Oryctolagus cuniculus: one gene and its partners. The protein of the gene in region 4 purifies or fractionates together with the protein of the main gene of each other region. This does not show direct contact. Links are inferred from orthologs where the notes say so. Each region holds a gene or a part of one and is shown on either strand. Other genes may lie near its edges. The genes, in order: GTF2H4, HSP90AB1, CDC37 and CDK7.

Region 1 (4,766 bases), on a different chromosome or scaffold from region 4:
GAGCGGGGGGTGGGCCCCAGGCCTCCTCACCTGGGCGGTCTGCAGATACTGCAGCATAAAGTACCAGAGCTGGGCGGGCGTGTCCAGCAGCAGGAACTGGAAGCCGGCGGAGGTAATGCAGGGGGGCTCTCCTGGCTCGGCACTAGAGACGCAGGGGGCAGTGATGGGGACAGGCAGGGAAGGACCGTCACCGCCAGCAGCGCTCTCCGGTTCCCGCCTGGTGTCTTTAGGCTCTGCTGGACCCAGCTCTGCTTTTGCAGTCAACTCCCTCGAACCTGGTCCCACTCCAGACACCATTTACCAAGGACCCAAAGAGACGGCAGAGCAGGGAGTCGCGTTACCTCCAGCTTGCTCACCTCTTCATGAGCCCAGCCTGACTGAGGAGCTGGGCCAAGTCCTGGCTGACGGCCGCACTCGGGGAGCCCACCATGAAGTGCAAGACCACCTGCAGAGCAGAAGACAACACAGAGGCTGATGCCTCTGCGAGCCACAGATGCAGCGGCGCGAGCGCAGAACCGCAGAACCCCAGGGGCCTCACCTCCCATCGCTCCTCTGCGTACTTGTCGAGGGAGGGGACATCCCGGGCATGCTTGTCGGGTCCCAGCTGACTTGTGTCATCAGACCAGGCCTTCCCCCTAAGGCCAGGACGCACCAAGAGGTGAGGAACCTTGGCTCTGTTCCCTGCTGCCTGTCTGCCCCCTCTCCACCCTTACCTCAAGGGCCATGCATAGGGGACACTTCCTACACCATGCAGCTGTATCTGATTCAACTTCTCCCTAAAGGAGTTCTCAAAGGTGGGCCCCGCAAGGCTCCAAGGAGCCCCACTCCCCGCCAGGAGTCTCCTCTCCCCTCCAGGAGTTCCCTCTCCCCCCAGGAGCTCCCCCTCCGGCAGCTGAACTACCTGTCCCCCTGGGCTGGCTTAGGAAGAGATGGAAGTGACATACCCACCGAGAAGGGCGACGCGGAGGTTCTGGCGGAAGACGGGGTTGAGGATGAGGCCCTGGAGGCCTCCAGGGAGCAGCTGGGTGTGCCAGATCCGGAGGCCGCTCAGCAGCCCCGTACTTTGCTCCTGAGCCCTGGAACAGAAGCCGAGATGAGTGCTAAGTGGGTGTCCCGAGAACAAAACGAAGGAGGCCCACACAGGCTCCACTTCTGCCTCTTCCGAACCATTTCAGAGTGAAGTCACTGTCTCCTAAACACAAATTTCTTCCTTTTTAAAAAAAGATTTATTTATTTATTTGAAAGGCAAAGATACAGAGAGGCAGAAGCAGAGACAGAGACAGATCTTCCATCCGCTGGTTCACTCCCCAGATGGCCTCAATGGCCAGAACTGGGCCAATCTGAAGCCAGGAGCCAGGCGCTTCTTCCGGGTCTCCCACGTGGGTGCAGGGGCCCAAGCGCTTGGGCCGTCTTCCACTGTTTTCCCAGGCCATAGCAGAGAGCTGGATCGGAAGTGGAGCCCACATGGGATGCCGGCACTGCAGGCGGTGGCTTTACCCACTACGCCACAGAGCCAGCCCCTAAACACAAATTTCAGAACCTTGCTACAGACATCACAACTCTCCAAGAAGGAAGACACAGCATGCAAGCTTTGTGGTGTACCTATTAGTATTTCCTGAGAGTGTGCCAAAGAACAGCAGTTTGAGAAATCTAGCTGCTGAGAAATTTGTATCTGGCTGAGAGTGCCGTCGAGACTCACTTGCTGAACTCCTTCTTCACCCACAGGGCTACGGCAGCTTGCGGCAAAGGCTGCTCCAGAAAGAGCATCCGCATCACCCAGTTCTTAGCCAAAGATGGGAGCTCTCTGCAGAGGGTAGAGGTCAGAAATCAAAACCAGAAGCTGCCTTCTATCTCTATCTCTGCCTGACATGCCTCTCAAACATCTCATCTCACCAGAAACACACACACACACACACACACACACACGTATCTTAACCAGTCCTGCTGTCCCCAGAACCCCCATCTGTTCCATCTGCATCAATTTGGAGTAATTCCCAAGCCGTGCCAGGCTGCTACGGTTCTGCCCAGGATAACTCATTGCCGTCTGCCAGCCCTACCACATTTCTCCACCACAGTTGCTGCCGTGAAGGGAACTCCTCACCTGAAGACAGCCAGACAGGTGGCAGGGTGCCCATACAATCGATCCAAAACCCCAGGGCTTAGGCTCCCTAAGAATTCCTGCAGATTCCTGCATTGTAGATGCACCCGGTTCAGTCCACCCCTAGAAGGGGTACTCTCCATCACCTGAGAGACAAGTGTTAGCCGCACACCCCCGCGATCCACACCAGGGTCACCCCTGACCTCTGACTCCAGATCCATCAGTCCCCACAGTAATACCCGTGGTGTCCGTTCCCAGGTCATTTATCTCCTGCTGTCTCTCCAAACCTGACCAGCCTCCCCTCTTTCCTGCCTCCTCATCCCACTTCTGCCCACCACTCCAGACTTCCCTCAATTTCCAAGTTACTAACTGGCCTCTACTTGCAAAAATCATTTTGGTTGCAACGACCTGTCTTCTTTAGCTAAGCGGTAGCAAAGAACCTTGTCTGCGCCCACTCTCTCCCTCCGCCCCTCCTGCAGAGCAGTCTGCAAGCTCCAATTCTGTCCGTCTTCCCCATCCTCTACTTCGCACCCCTCTTCTGCGAGGTACGGCAAAACAAACCTCTGCTCTCCACGCTGCTCAAATCCAGACCCACCACTTCCACCTCCCCCAAGTCTACCTCACTGCGTCCACCCCGATCCACACCGTCCCATCCCCTAACTTCTCCCCGACTTCTTCTCCCCGACTTTTCTGCCACTCCCCACCCCTCTCTGCTCTCTTCTACCTCCGTCTACCCGCCCTCCCGGGCCCGCTCACCACTCTGTGCCGACCCCCCTCACTCGCCCCGAGTCTCCAGCCGTCACTTAAACGGAGCCGATGTCCCGGAGATGGGGGAAAGGATGGTCAGGAAATGAGAGAAAAAGATGGAGAGCAACGAGGGATTTCACAGCAGCCCAGAATGGGGAAAACAGAAGAGAAGGAAAGGAAGAGGAGTGGAAAAGTGGGGAGGATGAAAATAGGCGCTGCACTCGGGGGCCGCGGGGCGTACTGGGAGTTGGAGTCCTGTCCCTACGCACCTCGGAGCAAACTGAAGCTATTCTGACTACAACTCCCGAAAGGCAGCGCGAGGAAGCCGGGCGGAGACAAGCTGGCCCTTGAGCGAGCCGGGCCGCCAGAAGTCGGACCATTTTGTTCCGCGCCTCTCTCCGCCCACGCTGCTAACGGCGCTTCTAAACGGCGTGGACCGAGGCGGGACCTGGAGAGAAATGCCCCGAGGGCTTCTTGGTGGAAGGGCGCCAAAAGGCAGGGTGGGGAGGCACTTGGAGAGCACAAAACTAGATTGTTTGAGGTCAGAGGTCCCCCGCGTAAGCGCTTTCGCGAGTTGACTGCTACCCCGATCCCACGCGCCTTGACTCGCGGGCATTCAACAAGTCTTAGTGTCTTTCAGCATGCTTCCAATCCCTGTTTAGTTAGAAGACCTTAATAAATAGGCTGGTTTTTTAAGATTTATTTATTTATTTGAGAAGCGGAGTCACAGAGAGAGAGAAGGAGAGATAAGGAGAGAGGTCTTCCATCTGCTGGTTCACTCCCCCAGTTGGCCACAATGGCTGGAGCTATGTTAATCCAAAGCCAGGAGCCAAGAGCTTCTTATGAGTCTCCCATATGGGTACAGGGTTCCCAAGGACTTGGACCATCTTCCACTGCTTTCCCAGGCCATAGCAGAGAGCTGGATTGGACCAGAAGCAGCTGGGACACAAACTGGCATCCATATGGGGTGCCGGCCCCTTTAATAAATAGTTTTAAACATAGCAGGTTAAGCCACGACGTGCAGTGCCGACATCCCATATGTGCGCCAGTTCCAGTCCTGGCTGCTCCACTTCCGGTCCAGGTCTCTGCTAATGTGCCTGGGCGAGCAGGGGAGCATGTGGGAGACCTGAATGAAGCTCCTGGCTCCTGGCTCCTGGCTCCTGGCTTTGGCCTGGCCCAGCCTGGGTGGTTGCGGCCATTTGGGGAGTGAATCAGCAGATGAAAGATCCCTCTCTCTCTCTCTTTTTCATATAAAGGTGCCTGAGCTCCGTACCCTTCTCTGGCTCCTGCTAAAGCAGACCATGGGACCAGGTGGTGATGGCTCAGGTACTTGGGAGACCTGGATGGGGTTCCTGACTCCAGATTTCAAACTCCCACCCCCCAAGGTCATTGAGAGCATTTGGGGGAATGAAACAGTGGGTGGAACATCTGTCTGTCTCTGCCTGTTAAACTTCAAAAATAAAAAGATAAAGCTTGGGGAGAAATGTTCGATGAAGTAGACAGAATGCAAAAGGCTCTTCCAAAGCAAAAAGACAAAAAAAAAAAAAAGATTGGCAAAAGAGATCACAAGCAATAAGCAGGAAAAATACAAAGCCTTGTGAAGAGTTGGAAAACCATGAACCGCACTAGTAGTTAAGGAAAAGTCAAAGAAACAGAACATGGGGCCAGTGCTGTGGCACAGCAGGTTAAAGCCCTGACCTGAAGCACTGGCATCCCATATGGGCACCGGTTCTAGTCCCGGCTGCTCCACCTCCAATCCAGCTCTCTGGCTTCGGATCGGCGCAGCTCCAGCTGTTGCAGCCATCTGGGGAGTGAACCAGTGGATGGAAGACCTCTCTCTGTCTCTGTTTCTACCTCTCTCTGTAACTCTGTCTTTCAAATAAATAAAATAAATTTAAAAAAAGAAAACTTCAGAAATTAA
Region 2 (3,682 bases), on a different chromosome or scaffold from region 4:
GCCATTTGCTTGCCCTGAGGGTCGGTGCTCAAAACTGACGAGTGTTTCTGGGTGCTTTAGTTGGAGAAGGAAAGAGAAAAGGAAATCAGTGATGATGAAGCAGAGGAAGAAAAAGGGGAAGAGAAAAAGGAGGAGGAAGATAAGGAGGACGATGAGAAGCCCAAGATCGAAGATGTGGGCTCCGATGAGGAAGATGACAGCGGCAAGGACAAGAAAAAGAAAACCAAGAAGATCAAGGAGAAGTACATCGATCAGGAAGAACTGAACAAGACCAAGCCCATCTGGACCAGAAACCCTGATGACATCACCCAGGAGGAGTACGGCGAGTTCTACAAGAGCCTCACCAATGACTGGGAGGACCACTTGGCAGTCAAGGTGAGAGGCCTTGGGAGTGGGCCGGGGTGGAGAGGCAGGGGGTAGCCCAGCTGAGAACCGGGAGCATCGCTGATGGCCCTGCCCGAGGACCTGGCTTTCTCTCCTGGTGGAAGTTCAGGATTTTATGCAGCTGGGACCAGCGTAGGTGTGTTTAGGGCATTAGGAATCATGTCGCAAGTGCTTGGGGGACGATAATTCCAGGTTGGAGTCTAGTTGGGACTGAAGGGCACCCTGGGCCTGGCGCGTCCTGCTGGCTTACCTTGGGTCTCCTGTCGCAGCACTTCTCCGTGGAAGGTCAGCTGGAATTCAGGGCTTTGCTTTTCATCCCTCGCCGAGCTCCCTTTGACCTCTTTGAGAACAAGAAGAAGAAGAACAACATTAAGCTGTACGTCCGCCGTGTGTTCATCATGGACAGCTGTGATGAGCTGATCCCAGAGTATCTCAGTGAGTATGGCCTTGGCCCGGTGGCGTTGGAGGGGGCTGCAGGCTTCATCCCAGATAGTGGTCCAGGGAGAAAGCCGGACCTCGTGTGCGCATCCGGGTGGCTCTGTCCAGTCTGGCCTGGTCTTGACCAAGCTGCCGCACTGCCTGGTTGCAGACTTCATCCGTGGCGTGGTCGACTCCGAAGACCTGCCCTTGAACATCTCCCGCGAAATGCTGCAGCAGAGCAAGATCTTGAAAGTCATCCGCAAGAACATCGTGAAGAAGTGCCTCGAGCTCTTCTCCGAGCTGGCGGAAGACAAGGAGAACTACAAGAAGTTCTATGAGGCCTTCTCCAAGAACTTGAAGGTGAGGAGCGAGTGGCTTTCTCCCTTGGGGCACGTTTGGGTACGTGGTAAGTGGGTCGTTCAAAGTTCTAGCCCAGCTGATGGTGGTTTCTCTTCCCGCCCTTAAAGCTTGGCATCCACGAGGACTCCACCAACCGGCGCCGCCTCTCTGAGCTGCTGCGCTACCACACCTCCCAGTCTGGAGACGAGATGACTTCGCTGTCTGAGTACGTCTCTCGCATGAAGGAGACACAGAAGTCCATCTACTACATCACTGGTGCGTGCGCGTCTGGGTCTGAGGCGGGCAGGGGCTGGGCAGGGCAGGGGCATTCGTGTCTGAGTCCCATTGAATGACCTTGCAGGGGAGAGCAAAGAGCAGGTGGCCAACTCGGCTTTCGTGGAGCGCGTGCGGAAGCGGGGCTTCGAGGTGGTGTACATGACAGAGCCGATCGACGAGTACTGCGTGCAGCAACTCAAGGAGTTCGACGGGAAGAGCTTGGTGTCTGTGACCAAAGAGGGCCTGGAGCTGCCTGAGGACGAGGAGGAGAAGAAGAAGATGGAGGAGAGCAAGGCGAAGTTTGAGAACCTCTGCAAGCTCATGAAGGAGATCCTGGATAAGAAGGTTGAGAAGGTGAGCACCTGGGGCTCAGGTGTTCCGCACTCCTTTGGAGGTGCAGCTTTGCGTGCTTGCTGTGTGTGTCAAGATTCAAGGGCAGGGTTGGAGAGGGCACAATGGCTTGGGGTAAGCCAGGCCAAGGAGCCTGGAACTCCAGGTCTCCCTGGGAGGTGGCAGGGGCCGGAGCTCTTGGGCCATCTTCCTAGGCACATTCGTAGGGAGCTGGCTCTGAAGCGGAGCAGCTGGTGATGCCAGTGGCCCTGCAGTGAGTGGTTTTATTCAGGAGTTAGGTGTGAGCTGTCTCTAAGGCTTGGCAAAGATGTAAGGCTGACCTCCACACACACCTGAGGTTTGCTGGCTGTTTGCAGGTGACAATCTCCAATAGGCTCGTGTCTTCGCCCTGCTGCATCGTGACCAGCACCTACGGCTGGACAGCCAACATGGAGCGGATCATGAAGGCCCAGGCACTTCGAGACAACTCTACCATGGGCTACATGATGGCCAAGAAGCACCTGGAGATCAATCCCGACCACCCCATCGTGGAGACGCTGAGGCAGAAGGCCGAGGCGGATAAGAACGACAAGGCAGTCAAGGATCTGGTGGTGCTGCTCTTTGAAACTGCGCTGCTGTCCTCCGGCTTCTCCCTGGAGGATCCCCAGACCCACTCCAACCGCATCTATCGCATGATCAAGCTAGGCCTAGGTATGGAGTGAGCAGTGCCTGGGTTCCGGGTGGGGACACCCTTCCCTCCCTCCGTGCTGTGTGGTTGGAACCTCCTATTTTCTGTTTCCTAGGCATTGATGAGGATGAGGTGGCAGCAGAGGAACCCAGCGCAGCTGTTCCGGAGGAGATCCCCCCTCTCGAGGGAGATGAGGACGCCTCCCGCATGGAAGAAGTAGACTAGGAACTCCTCGGAAACTCCTGCCCTCTGTATAGTGTCCCCGTGGCTCCCACAGCAGCCTTGAGTGGCCCTGTCCCACCTGGCTCCCCTGCTGATGTCTAGTGGTCTCTCTCCTGTCCTGTGTCTTATGGCAGGAAACAAAGGCCTCAAGCCCCATCCCCTCCTTAATTTGACAATGGGGTTGGATGTTGTGTATTGTGGGTTTTTTTTGTTTATTTTGTTCTGAAATTAAAGTATGCAAAATAAAGATGACGCCGTTTTATACAGTTCTGCTCTCCCTTGTAAAGTGGATGCACTGCTTTTGGTGTCCAGCAGTTGTGAGCACAGAGGGCTGTGCTGGTGTTGCTCACCCCAAAGCTAAGGGGGTAGTGGGGGTGCCCACCCTGCAACCCTGTCCTCCCAACCCCTTCAGTCACCTGACACACAGGACTTGTCCACTGCAGCAATTTAATAAAATTATAAAGAGCAAAACGACATTTCCAGAGTACCAAAGCCTGCACTAGCTCACGGAGCCAGCTCCCTCAGCACCCTGTCACCCGCCTTGAAAAGCAGCACTTGGCGCCCCAAACACTTGTGCTGTGCTTTTCCCCACAGTTAAACGCAGGTGTGGGAGGGAAGTCCCCGATGTAGGGGCTAAGCACAGGTGAAGCGCTGGTGACAACAGGTAGGCTCGACACCCCCCCAAGCCCCTCAGGAGGGCTGTCAAACAGGTGACTTAAGGCCAAGGGGAAGTCTGCCTCGGGCTCCCCGCCCGCCAGCTGCACATTTTGCCCTAGAGCCAGTGCCACCAAGTAGAGGAGAGCCTGGGTGGTGGGCGGGGCCCCTCCTGCCTCAAACCTGCTGCACTGGGGCCTCCCCAGGCACCACCTTCTTTCCCCTCTGCTTTAGTCGCCCCCGGGCGTAGACTCTGAGCAGGAGCGCAGCGAAGACCACAGCCACCCCCAGCCCGCCCACCACAGTGACCGTGTGGCCATAGAGGAGGCAGGAGAGGAGGATGGCAAAGGCCTGGCGCAGGGTCATGAT
Region 3 (4,869 bases), on a different chromosome or scaffold from region 4:
ACCCCCTGCCCACCGCAGCTTGCAGCCCAGAGCTTACCTTGGAAGGGGGCTGGGGAAGGGACGCCCCGCCCTCTCCGGCGGGGGGAGGGGGCGGGAAGGGACTGGGGTGCCCAGACCCTTTGTTTGCTGGTGTGTGAGTGTGAGTGTGAGTGTGTGCGCGCGGCGGTGAGACCCGCCGGGGTGTGAGTCCGTGCGCGCGCGTGCTCGGGCCGTGACGGCCACGGAGGAGCTGGACTGGCGGCTGGAGGGGGGGAGGGGGAAGCGACGGGGACTCCCCCGCCCCCGCCCGCCCACTCGCGGGTTTGAATGAAAAGCGAGGGGGAGGGGCGGCGGAGGGAGGGCGCTTTTGGTCCCGATGGCCACTCCCCCTCCCCAACGGGCCGGGGAATCCCTCCCCACCCCCACCCCCATGGAGCGATTTTTATTCTCTCCAGGGACCCCCCACTATCTACAGAGGCTCTGCGAGGAACTGGGGAGAGGCGTCCCAGACACAGGTGGCCGGAGCTCCTCCAACTCCACTTGACCCTCGCGGAGCACCCCTTAATCTGAGATAATCCTGGCCCGAGGCTGCAACACGGCCTTTTATCCCTGCATCCGAGAGTGGGTGGAGCCGTGGAGCAGCGCGCGGCCCAGCTGCCCCGAGCTCGGGGCAGTGGCATCCTGAAGCCGTTCTGGCCGAGGGGAGGGGTCCCAGCCGAACGGGGAGGGGCGACGAGCAGCCCCAGACCCGGACGACGAGGAAAGCCCCCTACCGCCCCTCCCCAGTCCCCTACTGGGCCGGAGGCCAGCAGCACTGGCCACTAGCTGGACATTTGGCGACACCCAGCGGCCGTGCGTGGGGACGCCACGCAGGGCGCCCGAAAACCTTTTGGGTGATTCCAGAGGGGGGGTGTGCGCGCAAGTCGTCTCTCACGAGTGGCGGGCACCGGGGGCTGTGTGTGGTCCCAGCGCGGGAAACCCTGCCCTACCGTCGACCCCCTCCCCTCCCCGCCACGTAGGACAGGATCTTACCGCCGCTCGCTTAGACCCCTCCACCACGGCAGGGTCTCGACCCCCCCTACTCGAACTGGGGAGTCCCCTCGGGTCTCGTGCCCCTCCCTAGCCCGGAATCCAGTCCCCCACCTTCAGGGGAGCTGGGTGGGGGTGGGGGTGGGTCTTCGAGTCGAGGCCCCGCCCCTGCGGTGGCCTCGGGCTGATGTCACTGCGGCTTGGCCAACGGGACAATCCAGCCCCTCAGTCTCGTCAACTGCCCCAGCGCAAACGCCCCCCGGGGAGGGGGCGGCAGGAGATGAGAGGCGCTCCTGGCTGCCGCGCTGCCCTGTAGGCCCCCCAGGAGGTGCCGGGCAGAGTCTCCCTGCCCAACGAGGCGGGGTCTCGGCGGGAACTCCCTGGCCCCTAACACGTGCGCAGGTCCCTTTAAGGCGGGCTTGGTCGCCAGGGCCGCCGCCGCCGTTACCAGGGATGTGACGTCACGCGCGGGCGGGGGCTGCGCGCGCGGGCGGAAGCGGAAGGGGCGGGGCTCCGCGGGCCGAGTGTCCAGCGCTGCCGCCGCCGCCGCCGCCGCCGCCGCCGCCGCCGCTCGAGCGGGCGCGGGCTGGGCCGTGGAGGCAAGATGGTGGACTACAGCGTGTGGGACCACATCGAAGTGTCCGACGATGAGGACGAGACGCACCCCAACATCGACACGGCCAGCCTCTTCCGCTGGAGGCACCAGGTAGAGCGCGCGTGCCCGGCCCCTGCCCCCTTTCCCGGGACCGCTCCAGAGTTCTGACCGCGGGTACTGCCCAGGGGACCCCGCGGTTGTTGACGCCCGGGATTCCAACCTCACGGTTTGGAGTTTCCCGCCCCTCGATTCCACGCCGGGGCTCGGGGAGCGCTGGGACCCCCACCCCCACCCACCCCCAGTCCCTGCGCGCGACCCCTGGGGCCGCCTTCGGATTCTGCACGGGTCTCTATTAACCCTTGAGACGCCCTCGGTCTGTGTATTCCCAGGGCCACCGGGGGGGGGGGTCCCTCGCCTGTAGGAACCTCTGCCGGCATCTGAGGACACCCCACCCCGCCTCACCCCTGCCCCCAGCCTCATCAACCCTGGGACGGGCAGGTGGTCCCTGCTGGCAACTCAGGGACCCCATGGTCACCACCCCCTCTTTGACGTATTTGCCCACGACAGAGCCCCCAGAGCCAGACCCCAGAATCCTAGCCGTGAGCAGCCCGTGGCTTCCCACCCATCCTCCCGCCCGGAGGTGCTCACCCCGCAGCTCGCACGGAGCGCGCACCTCCCAGAAGCTTCCAGTAGGAATTCCCGTCCCGGGCCTCCCTTCTGGCAGACCTGTATCCAGAAAGCCCTAGAAGGGCCCTGCCCCATCCTTCCGGGATGTGGCCTGGGGCCTGCTTCTGCCTCCCGGGCCCACCCCCAAACCTTTCCTTAAAGCGGCCGTCTCCTGGGGCGTGCACCTGCTGTGCGGGAGTGTGGGAAGAAAGTTCCAGCCCTTCTAGTTCTATTTATTATGAAATATTTAAGACCTCCGCAAGGCTCCCCAGACTATTTCTGTCGCGTAAAGAGGTTAATCTTTACTCTGGCGTGGAGAGCGGGGTGGGGGCCGCCCCATTTCCTGGCCGGCTGCTGTGGAGGAGGGGCGGGGTGCCCGCCCAGCCCCCAGCCCCCTCTCCAGTTTGCGAGGTGGGGGGAGGTTTGTGATCTCTCTGAGCGCTGCAAAGCTGAGCTAACGCGGCGCCCGCTTCTGGAAAGATCCTGGTGCAGAGACTGGGATGGAAAAGTTAGAGGTGGCCTGGTGGCTGCCACTCTGGGTTCCCGGAGAGGTGGGCGTTTGCCCGCCGCCCTGGGCTCTGCACCCACTGCCGGCTCCGGTTCCCACTGCCCTTCCCACTGCCCCGGGAGGCAGCAGGGACGCCTCAGGGCCCTGGGCCCCCGCCACCCACGTGGCGGACTTGCTTTGAGTTCCTGGCTCCCGGCTTCAGCCTGGCCCAGCCCCAGCCCTTGTGGGCATTTGACGTGATGATGGACTAGCAGCTGGGAACTCTGTCTCTGCCTCTGAACTTTAAAAGATGGAGGCCGGCGCCGCGGCTCACTAGGCTAATCATCCGCTTGCTGCGCCGGTACCCCAGGTTCTAGTCCCGGTCGTGGCGCCGGATTTTGTCCCGGTTGCCCCTCTTCCAGGCCAGCTCTCTGCTGTGGCCCGGGAGTGCAGTGGAGGATGGCCCAAGTGCTTGGGCCCTGCACCCACATGGGAGACCAAGAGAAGCACCTGGCTCCTGGTTTCGGATCAGCGCGGTGCGCTGGCCGCAGTGGCCATTGGGGGATGAACCAACGGCAAAGGAAGACCTTTCTCTCTGTCTCTCTCTCACTGTCCACTCTGCCTGTCAAAAAAAAAAAAAAAAGAAAAAGAAAAGTGATATTGCTTATTTTGTTGCCAAAAATTTGTAACCAGGAATAGTCCTTTCGAGGCACTGGTTTTCTGTGAACTTTTTGAATCCAACTTATATGCCTGAATTTCAGACTTTTTGCACCCCGCTAAAGTTGCCTTTTGAAAGATTTATTTACTTTGCTGAGCCAATTTTTTGGTGAAGACTTATTTAATTTTAAAGATTATCCATTTCTTCTTTTAAGTTTTTTAATTTAAGATTTAGTTTATTTGAAAGGCAGAGTTACAGAAGGAAAAGGAGAGATGGAGCCGGTTTGCTCCACAAATGGCTGCAAGAGCCAGGGCTGGGCTGATCTGAAGCCAGGAGCCAGGAGCTTCCTCCAGGTCTCCCACGCGGGTGCAGGGGCCCAAGGGCTTGGGCCATCTTGCACTGCTCTCCCAGGCCACAGCAGAGAGCTGGATCAGAGTGGAGCAGCCGGGACTCGAACTGGTACCCATAAAGGTGCTGGCGCTTCAGGCCAGGGCTTTAACCACAGCACCAGCCCCAAAAGTTATCTTTTATAATGTCATTTCTCCATGAAATTTTTTTTAAAGATTTTATTTATTTATTTGACAGGTAGAGTTACAGACAGTAAGACAGAGAGAAAGGTCTTCCATCCGTTGGTTCAACCGCCAAACGGCCACAATGGCCGGAGCTGCACCGATCCGAAGCCAGGAGCCATGTGCCCCCTCCTGGTCTCCCGTGCGGGTGCAGGACCCAAGCACTTGGGCCATCCTCCATGAATTTTTGAAGCAGCATTCCAGGCGTGGCCAGTTGGGTTGGATTCAGCTCCTGGATTATTGGCACGCCAGCCAGCCGCTCGCTAGCTCTGGATCCAAGCGTATGCCCGGGACCCAACCCGTGGGGGTCGATGCCAGGGTTTCCTGATTTATGGATTTTTAAAGACGTGTTTATTGGAAAGGCAGAGTTGACAGAGGAGGAGAGAGTCCATGTGCTGGTTCCTTCCCTAAATGGCTGTGACAGCAGGGCTGCTCCAGCTCTGCCCTCTGGCTTTCCTGATGCGCGGCCAGAGCTCAGATCCTCGGGCTCTCGCCTGCTGCTTTCCCAGGTGAATTAGCAGGGAGACGGATCAGGAGCGGAACGACTGGGAGTTTTTATTTGAAAGAGTTACAGTGAGAGAGAGAAAGAGGAGAAAGATCTTCCATTCGCTGATTCACTCTCCAAATGGCCGCAACAGCCGGGGCTGGGCCAGGCCAGAGCCAGGAGTTTCTTCCTGGTCTCTAAGAATTTGGGCCGTGTTCCGCTGCTTTCCCAGGCACATCCGCGGGGAGCTGGATGGGAAGTGGAGCAGCCGGGACTCGAACCCGCGCTCCACTATGGGATGCCGGCACTGCAGGCAGTAGCTTTACCTGCCGCCCCACAACGCCAGCCCCCACCGTATTGAGTCTCTCGTGTCTGTGTATTTGTTTAGATTGTAATTTATAC
Region 4 (4,680 bases):
CTTATTAAAGCATACATTTCTAAATGTTAGCCTATTAATTTACTCGTGATGATCAAGTATTACCAGTGTTGAACTACTGCAAGCACACAACGTCTAGTAAACAAACGATCATAGATCTCCCGTAATTTCACTCTTCTGTTTAGACAGGACAAGAATTTATCAGATGGAATGGCTGCTGTAGAAGTGCTTTTCCTGAAATTAGATGAAGAATAGTGAAATAATGGCTCCATTATTTGTTCTAAATTTGCTAACATTTTTTCAGTCATAAGGTTACTAAAGTATAACTGGCTTATTAATAAGTATATCCTACTCCAAATGATAAAAATATACCCAAGATAAAAACAGATGTCCATGGTATTAGAATGGGTAAATAAGACAAAAGATTATTTGTAACCTATATTCAGAAAAAATTTCAGAGTATGAAATAAGGATACGAATATAGGAATAATTTTCACTACAGATTGTAGTTTATTATATTCTGGGAGATAAAGTCATTGTTTGGTTTACCACTTTGTGATCATGTGTGCAAATCCTGGTAATCATTAACTTCCTCAAATTTATGTCTTAAAACCTCATATATTCACCTTAAATAATTTACTTTATTAAGGCAATTTATCAAACTTTAACAGGATCATCCTATGCCAACGGTATGTATATTATGAAAATAAAACCTCACAAAGCTAAATAAATTCTCTTCCATATCTTAATGATTTCCAGAACGTGCTTAAAGAAGTCATCCTGATAGTGAGGGTGGTAGCTCATGAGCGATAGACAGTAGAAGTGTTGAGTTCATGTTTCCTTTTTTTTTGGTAAGATTTATTTATTTTACTTGAAAGTCAGAACTAGAGGGAGACACACAGAGAGAGATCCTCCATCCGATGGTCCACTCCCCAAATGGCTGCAGTGGCTGTAGCTGAGCTGATCTGAAGTCAGGACCCAGGAGCTTCATCCAGGTCTCCCACGTGAGTGCAGGGGCCCAAGCATTGGGCCATCGTCTGCTGCTTTCCCAGGCGCACTAGCAAGGAGCTGAATGGGAAGTGGAGCAGCCAGGACTTGAACCAGCATTCCTTTGGGATGCCAACACTACAGATGTCACCCTAATCCGCTGCACCAGCCGGCCCCAGAATTCTTCACCCAGCTACCTGTGGGTTACTCTTACATCTGCTGCTCCAGTTCATCTGCTTCTCTTGTAAATTCTGTGTTGTAGTCCCATGTAAATGTTCCCCAACACAAACGAGAGATAGGAATTTGGGTTGGATGCTAGCAGTCTACTCATACTAGTCTTTTGCTCTTTCTTACTTTTCTCCCAAGAAGCCCAGGGCCATTTTTTGCTTCCAGAAAAGGGATTTCAGGTAATGGAGAGCGGTTAGAGTAATACTGTGGGTGCCATTAGAAACCCTAATTCTGGAATTAAGAATCTGAGGGCTGGCAGGCGCCGCGGCTCACTAGGCTACTCCTCCGCCTAGCGGCGCCGGCACACGAGGTTCTAGTCCCGGTTGGGGCGCCGGTTCTGTCCCGGTTGCCCCTCTTCCAGGCCAGCTCTCTGCTGTGGCCAGGGAGTGCAGTGGAGGATGGCCCAAGTGCTTGGGCCCTGCACCCGTGGCGGCCATTGGAGGCAAAGGAAGACCTTTCTCTCTGCCTCTCTCTCACTGTCCACTCTGCCTGTCAAAAAAAAAAAAAAAAAAAAGAATCTGAGGGCAGTCCTTACTACAGTTCTTGCCACGAAGATCAAAATGAAAAAAATCACTTGTATAATCTGGGGGGTGAACCAGCACATGGGAGACCTCTCTCTCTACCTCTCTTTCAAATAAATCTTTAGACAAAAATGTTTATTTTGATGAAAGAATTTTTTTTTATAATTCACAAGTATAGCTAGGCAAAAGCATGTCAGTGGGAATGGCTGTCACAGGATGAGCTCCAAGGACAGTGTTGTAGACAGAATTCTGGCAAGGCTGAGTCAGGACGTCTGTTTCCATTAGGGGTTAAGCACTCACACAAGGGTATTCCAGAAAGTTCAAAGAAAAATAGTTAAAAGATGTTTATTTTGGTGCCAGCGCTGTGGCATAGCAGGTTAAAGCTGCTGCCTGCAGTGCCGGCATCCCATATGGACACTAGTTCAAGTCCTAGCTGCTCCACTTTGATCCAGCTCCCTGCTAATGTGCCTGGGAGGGCGGCAGAGGATGGCCCAAGCGCTTGGGCCCCTGCACCCATGTGGAAGACCCTAGAAGAAGCTCCTGGCTCCTGGATTTGGATCTGCTCAGCTCTGGCCCACTGGTGGCTATTTGGGGGGTGAACCAGCACATGGAAGACCTCTCTCTCTACCTCTCTAACTCTTTCAAATAAATCTTTAGACAAAAATGTTTATTTTGATGAAAAGATTTTTTTTTTAATTCTGCATAGTTTTTTTTAATGATATCCATGAAATTTTTGAAGAATCTTTGTATAATTAACCATCAGCAAATTGGTTAATTTGTGTTTCAGTTTTCCTCTCTAGTATTCTACAGTATAGGATCAAATTAGAATATTATCTGTAACCTGAGAATTTAGTGGCTGGAAACAGTAAGCCCTTATGGCTCAGTTACTGGGGCTGCAGTCATCTGAAGGCTTGGCTGCAGCTGACAGTCCCATCTCCAGGGTAGACCACTCACGTGGCAAGTGATGCTGGCTGTTGTTGGCAGGAGTTCCTCTCCGTGTAGGAAGGCTGTGCGTGTGGACTGACACGACTGACTTTCCCTGTAGTAATGATGCAGGCGTGCAGGCAGCAATGGCTGCTCCCACTTCCACCGCTGTGCCGTGTTCCACTGGTACAGAACAGCTTGTCTCATTGTGGGAGGACGACACAAGGGCATCCATAGCAGAAGGCAAGGTCGTCATGGCCATCTTTGACTAATAACAGATCTATAAACTCCGTGAGGTGCAGCAAAAGCTCAATATTTACAGACCTCATTGCCAGGGTATCAGCTAACCCATCGTCAGCAGCACGGTACAAGGTATGGAGTATCAACTTGTAGGACATGGCACACTTGAGAACCTCAAGCCTCAAAGGTAAAACTATCGTATTTAGCTCATTAGCTCTACAAGGAGGTAAAATTACCAAAGTATGTCTTTCGGAAGGAACGCTGGCAGAAGTCACACGACAGCACGCCTCTCTAGGTAGGACTTGCCCCAAGAAAAGTGGTAAATCCGGTGCACTTCCTGCAATGTACAAATCTTGCCTAGAGCCAGGTAGTGACAAAGCACCGAAAAAGAACAGTAATGGCTATCGTCAACCAAGACCTAGCTGCCGGAAATAAACTAGGTACGCGTAGTAGGTGGTTTGGCCCGGTCCTCCATCTCGTGATTGCATACTGGCGGGCAGGTATTCCGCTACAGGCGGTCTGATGCCGGAGCTAATGCTGACTTGCTGTATTACACGAACTGCACTGTTTTTGGCCTTGGCATCCTGCCATCTTCAACACGTCTCTGAAATCGGGATTTCGGCTCTCAGAAGCGTCAGATGCAATGGAGGAAACATTTCCGTGGTGCAGGCTGCTCCACTCAGATCTTGGAATCATTCTTTCCCCCTCCAACCCGTATCCAGCCTGTCCGTAAATGCTATTGGGTAGAAAGCAAGCAGAGTCATCTGGATTGTTGCACTAATTTTCTAACAGGGTCCTCTTTCTAAAAAATACTTAAAATCACTCTTCATCTGTGAAGCAGAACGGGCAAGCCCGTCTGCTGGTTCACTCCCCAGATCTCAATGGCAGCGGCCAGGCCAGAGCCACCAGCTGGAATGCAACCTCGCTGGTAGGAACTCAAGTACCCGAGCCATCTCCGCTCAGGCGAGTGGGATTCTGCCTCCCTAGGCCTGCTCCTCCCTAAGGGGAGTGCACCTGCTCCCGACTCGGCCTCAGAACGCGGCAGAGGTCGCGGGTTCTGGCGTCCACAGCAACCGTGACGCCGGAAAGCCTAGAGCAGCAACCAGCACGCGGTCACAAACTATCCGCACACGCACAGCCCTAGAAAATTCCGAACGCGGAACACATCAGGACGCCCACTCGTCCCCGACTGCGAGGACAACACCCAAATTGAAGCGATAAAACAGCAACACAGCGGCTGCCCAAAGGGCCGCACTTCCGGCATCCGCGGCGGTCACGTGACGGGCGCGACCCCGGCCCTGAGCGGCTTTGGTCCGGACGGGCTTTGCCCGGACTCTTTTAACAGCTGCTCCGCCCACCCCGGAAGTAGGGGCGGAGCCTCAAGCGTCGGAGCCCAGTGAGCGGAAGGGGCTGTTGGAGGCTTTAAGGCAGCTTTAAATTCCAGCTGTCTGGGGCGCCTGCCTCTTTTGGCTGGAGTCGGACTTCGGTTCCCGGATGGCTGTGGACGTGAAGTCTCGAGCTAAGCGTTATGAGAAACTGGACTTCCTCGGGGAGGGCCAGGTGAGGCTCTCGGGCGGGATGGAGAGCAGCGCGCGCACAGCCTTGCAGGGTTTTCCATGGACGCCCGAGGGCCTTGGCCGCTCGCTCTCCGTGGGGAGGCCGCCCGGACACAGCTGCCGCCCCGTTTTGTGCCCTGGAGGTTGGACCCCCACCCGGGAGCCCCCCGCTGCTTCCCGGCGGAGCGCGCTGGAGAGGGACGGGGCTGCCGAGCGCGGTGCAGGCCGCGGGGCCCGCGGGCTCCCCGCTGGCGCGAGCAGCAAGC

The links.
Region 1: the proteins of CDK7 (region 4) and GTF2H4 purify together in Homo sapiens (affinity purification with mass spectrometry; 7 studies listed by BioGRID and IntAct, with this or other methods). This does not show direct contact. The link is inferred for Oryctolagus cuniculus from reciprocal best matches to the Homo sapiens genes CDK7 and GTF2H4.
Region 2: the proteins of CDK7 (region 4) and HSP90AB1 purify together in Homo sapiens (affinity purification with mass spectrometry; 4 studies listed by BioGRID and IntAct, counting the BioPlex papers as one, with this or other methods). This does not show direct contact. The link is inferred for Oryctolagus cuniculus from reciprocal best matches to the Homo sapiens genes CDK7 and HSP90AB1.
Region 3: the proteins of CDK7 (region 4) and CDC37 purify together in Homo sapiens (affinity purification with mass spectrometry; 3 studies listed by BioGRID and IntAct, counting the BioPlex papers as one, with this or other methods). This does not show direct contact. The link is inferred for Oryctolagus cuniculus from reciprocal best matches to the Homo sapiens genes CDK7 and CDC37.

The regions. Positions count from the first base shown.
Region 1 is NC_091436.1:139,556,652-139,561,417, forward strand, and holds the start of GTF2H4 (general transcription factor IIH subunit 4), read right to left. Parts: upstream 3,076-4,766; 5' UTR 2,855-3,075; intron 2,245-2,854; 5' UTR 2,242-2,244; coding exon 2,102-2,241; intron 1,805-2,101; coding exon 1,700-1,804; intron 1,077-1,699; coding exon 945-1,076; intron 636-944; coding exon 539-635; intron 446-538; coding exon 357-445; intron 143-356; coding exon 31-142; intron 1-30. UniProt on the Homo sapiens protein: Component of the general transcription and DNA repair factor IIH (TFIIH) core complex, which is involved in general and transcription-coupled nucleotide excision repair (NER) of damaged DNA and, when complexed to CAK, in RNA transcription by RNA polymerase II.
Region 2 is NC_091436.1:125,879,356-125,883,037, reverse strand, and holds the end of HSP90AB1 (heat shock protein HSP 90-beta), read left to right. Parts: intron 1-60; coding exon 61-375; intron 376-653; coding exon 654-819; intron 820-973; coding exon 974-1,164; intron 1,165-1,271; coding exon 1,272-1,419; intron 1,420-1,504; coding exon 1,505-1,773; intron 1,774-2,126; coding exon 2,127-2,460; intron 2,461-2,552; coding exon 2,553-2,662; 3' UTR 2,663-2,710; exon of another isoform or gene 2,711-2,747; 3' UTR 2,748-2,925; downstream 2,926-3,682. Other genes in the region: SLC35B2 (adenosine 3'-phospho 5'-phosphosulfate transporter 1), read right to left, coding at 3,491-3,682. UniProt on the Homo sapiens protein: Molecular chaperone that promotes the maturation, structural maintenance and proper regulation of specific target proteins involved for instance in cell cycle control and signal transduction. Undergoes a functional cycle linked to its ATPase activity.
Region 3 is NC_091447.1:67,013,860-67,018,728, forward strand, and holds the start of CDC37 (hsp90 co-chaperone Cdc37), read left to right. Parts: upstream 1-1,513; 5' UTR 1,514-1,612; coding exon 1,613-1,714; intron 1,715-4,869. UniProt on the Homo sapiens protein: Co-chaperone that binds to numerous kinases and promotes their interaction with the Hsp90 complex, resulting in stabilization and promotion of their activity. Inhibits HSP90AA1 ATPase activity.
Region 4 is NC_091445.1:90,220,459-90,225,138, forward strand, and holds the start of CDK7 (cyclin-dependent kinase 7), read left to right. Parts: upstream 1-1,676; 5' UTR 1,677-4,352; coding exon 4,353-4,418; intron 4,419-4,680. UniProt on the Homo sapiens protein: Serine/threonine kinase involved in cell cycle control and in RNA polymerase II-mediated RNA transcription. Cyclin-dependent kinases (CDKs) are activated by the binding to a cyclin and mediate the progression through the cell cycle.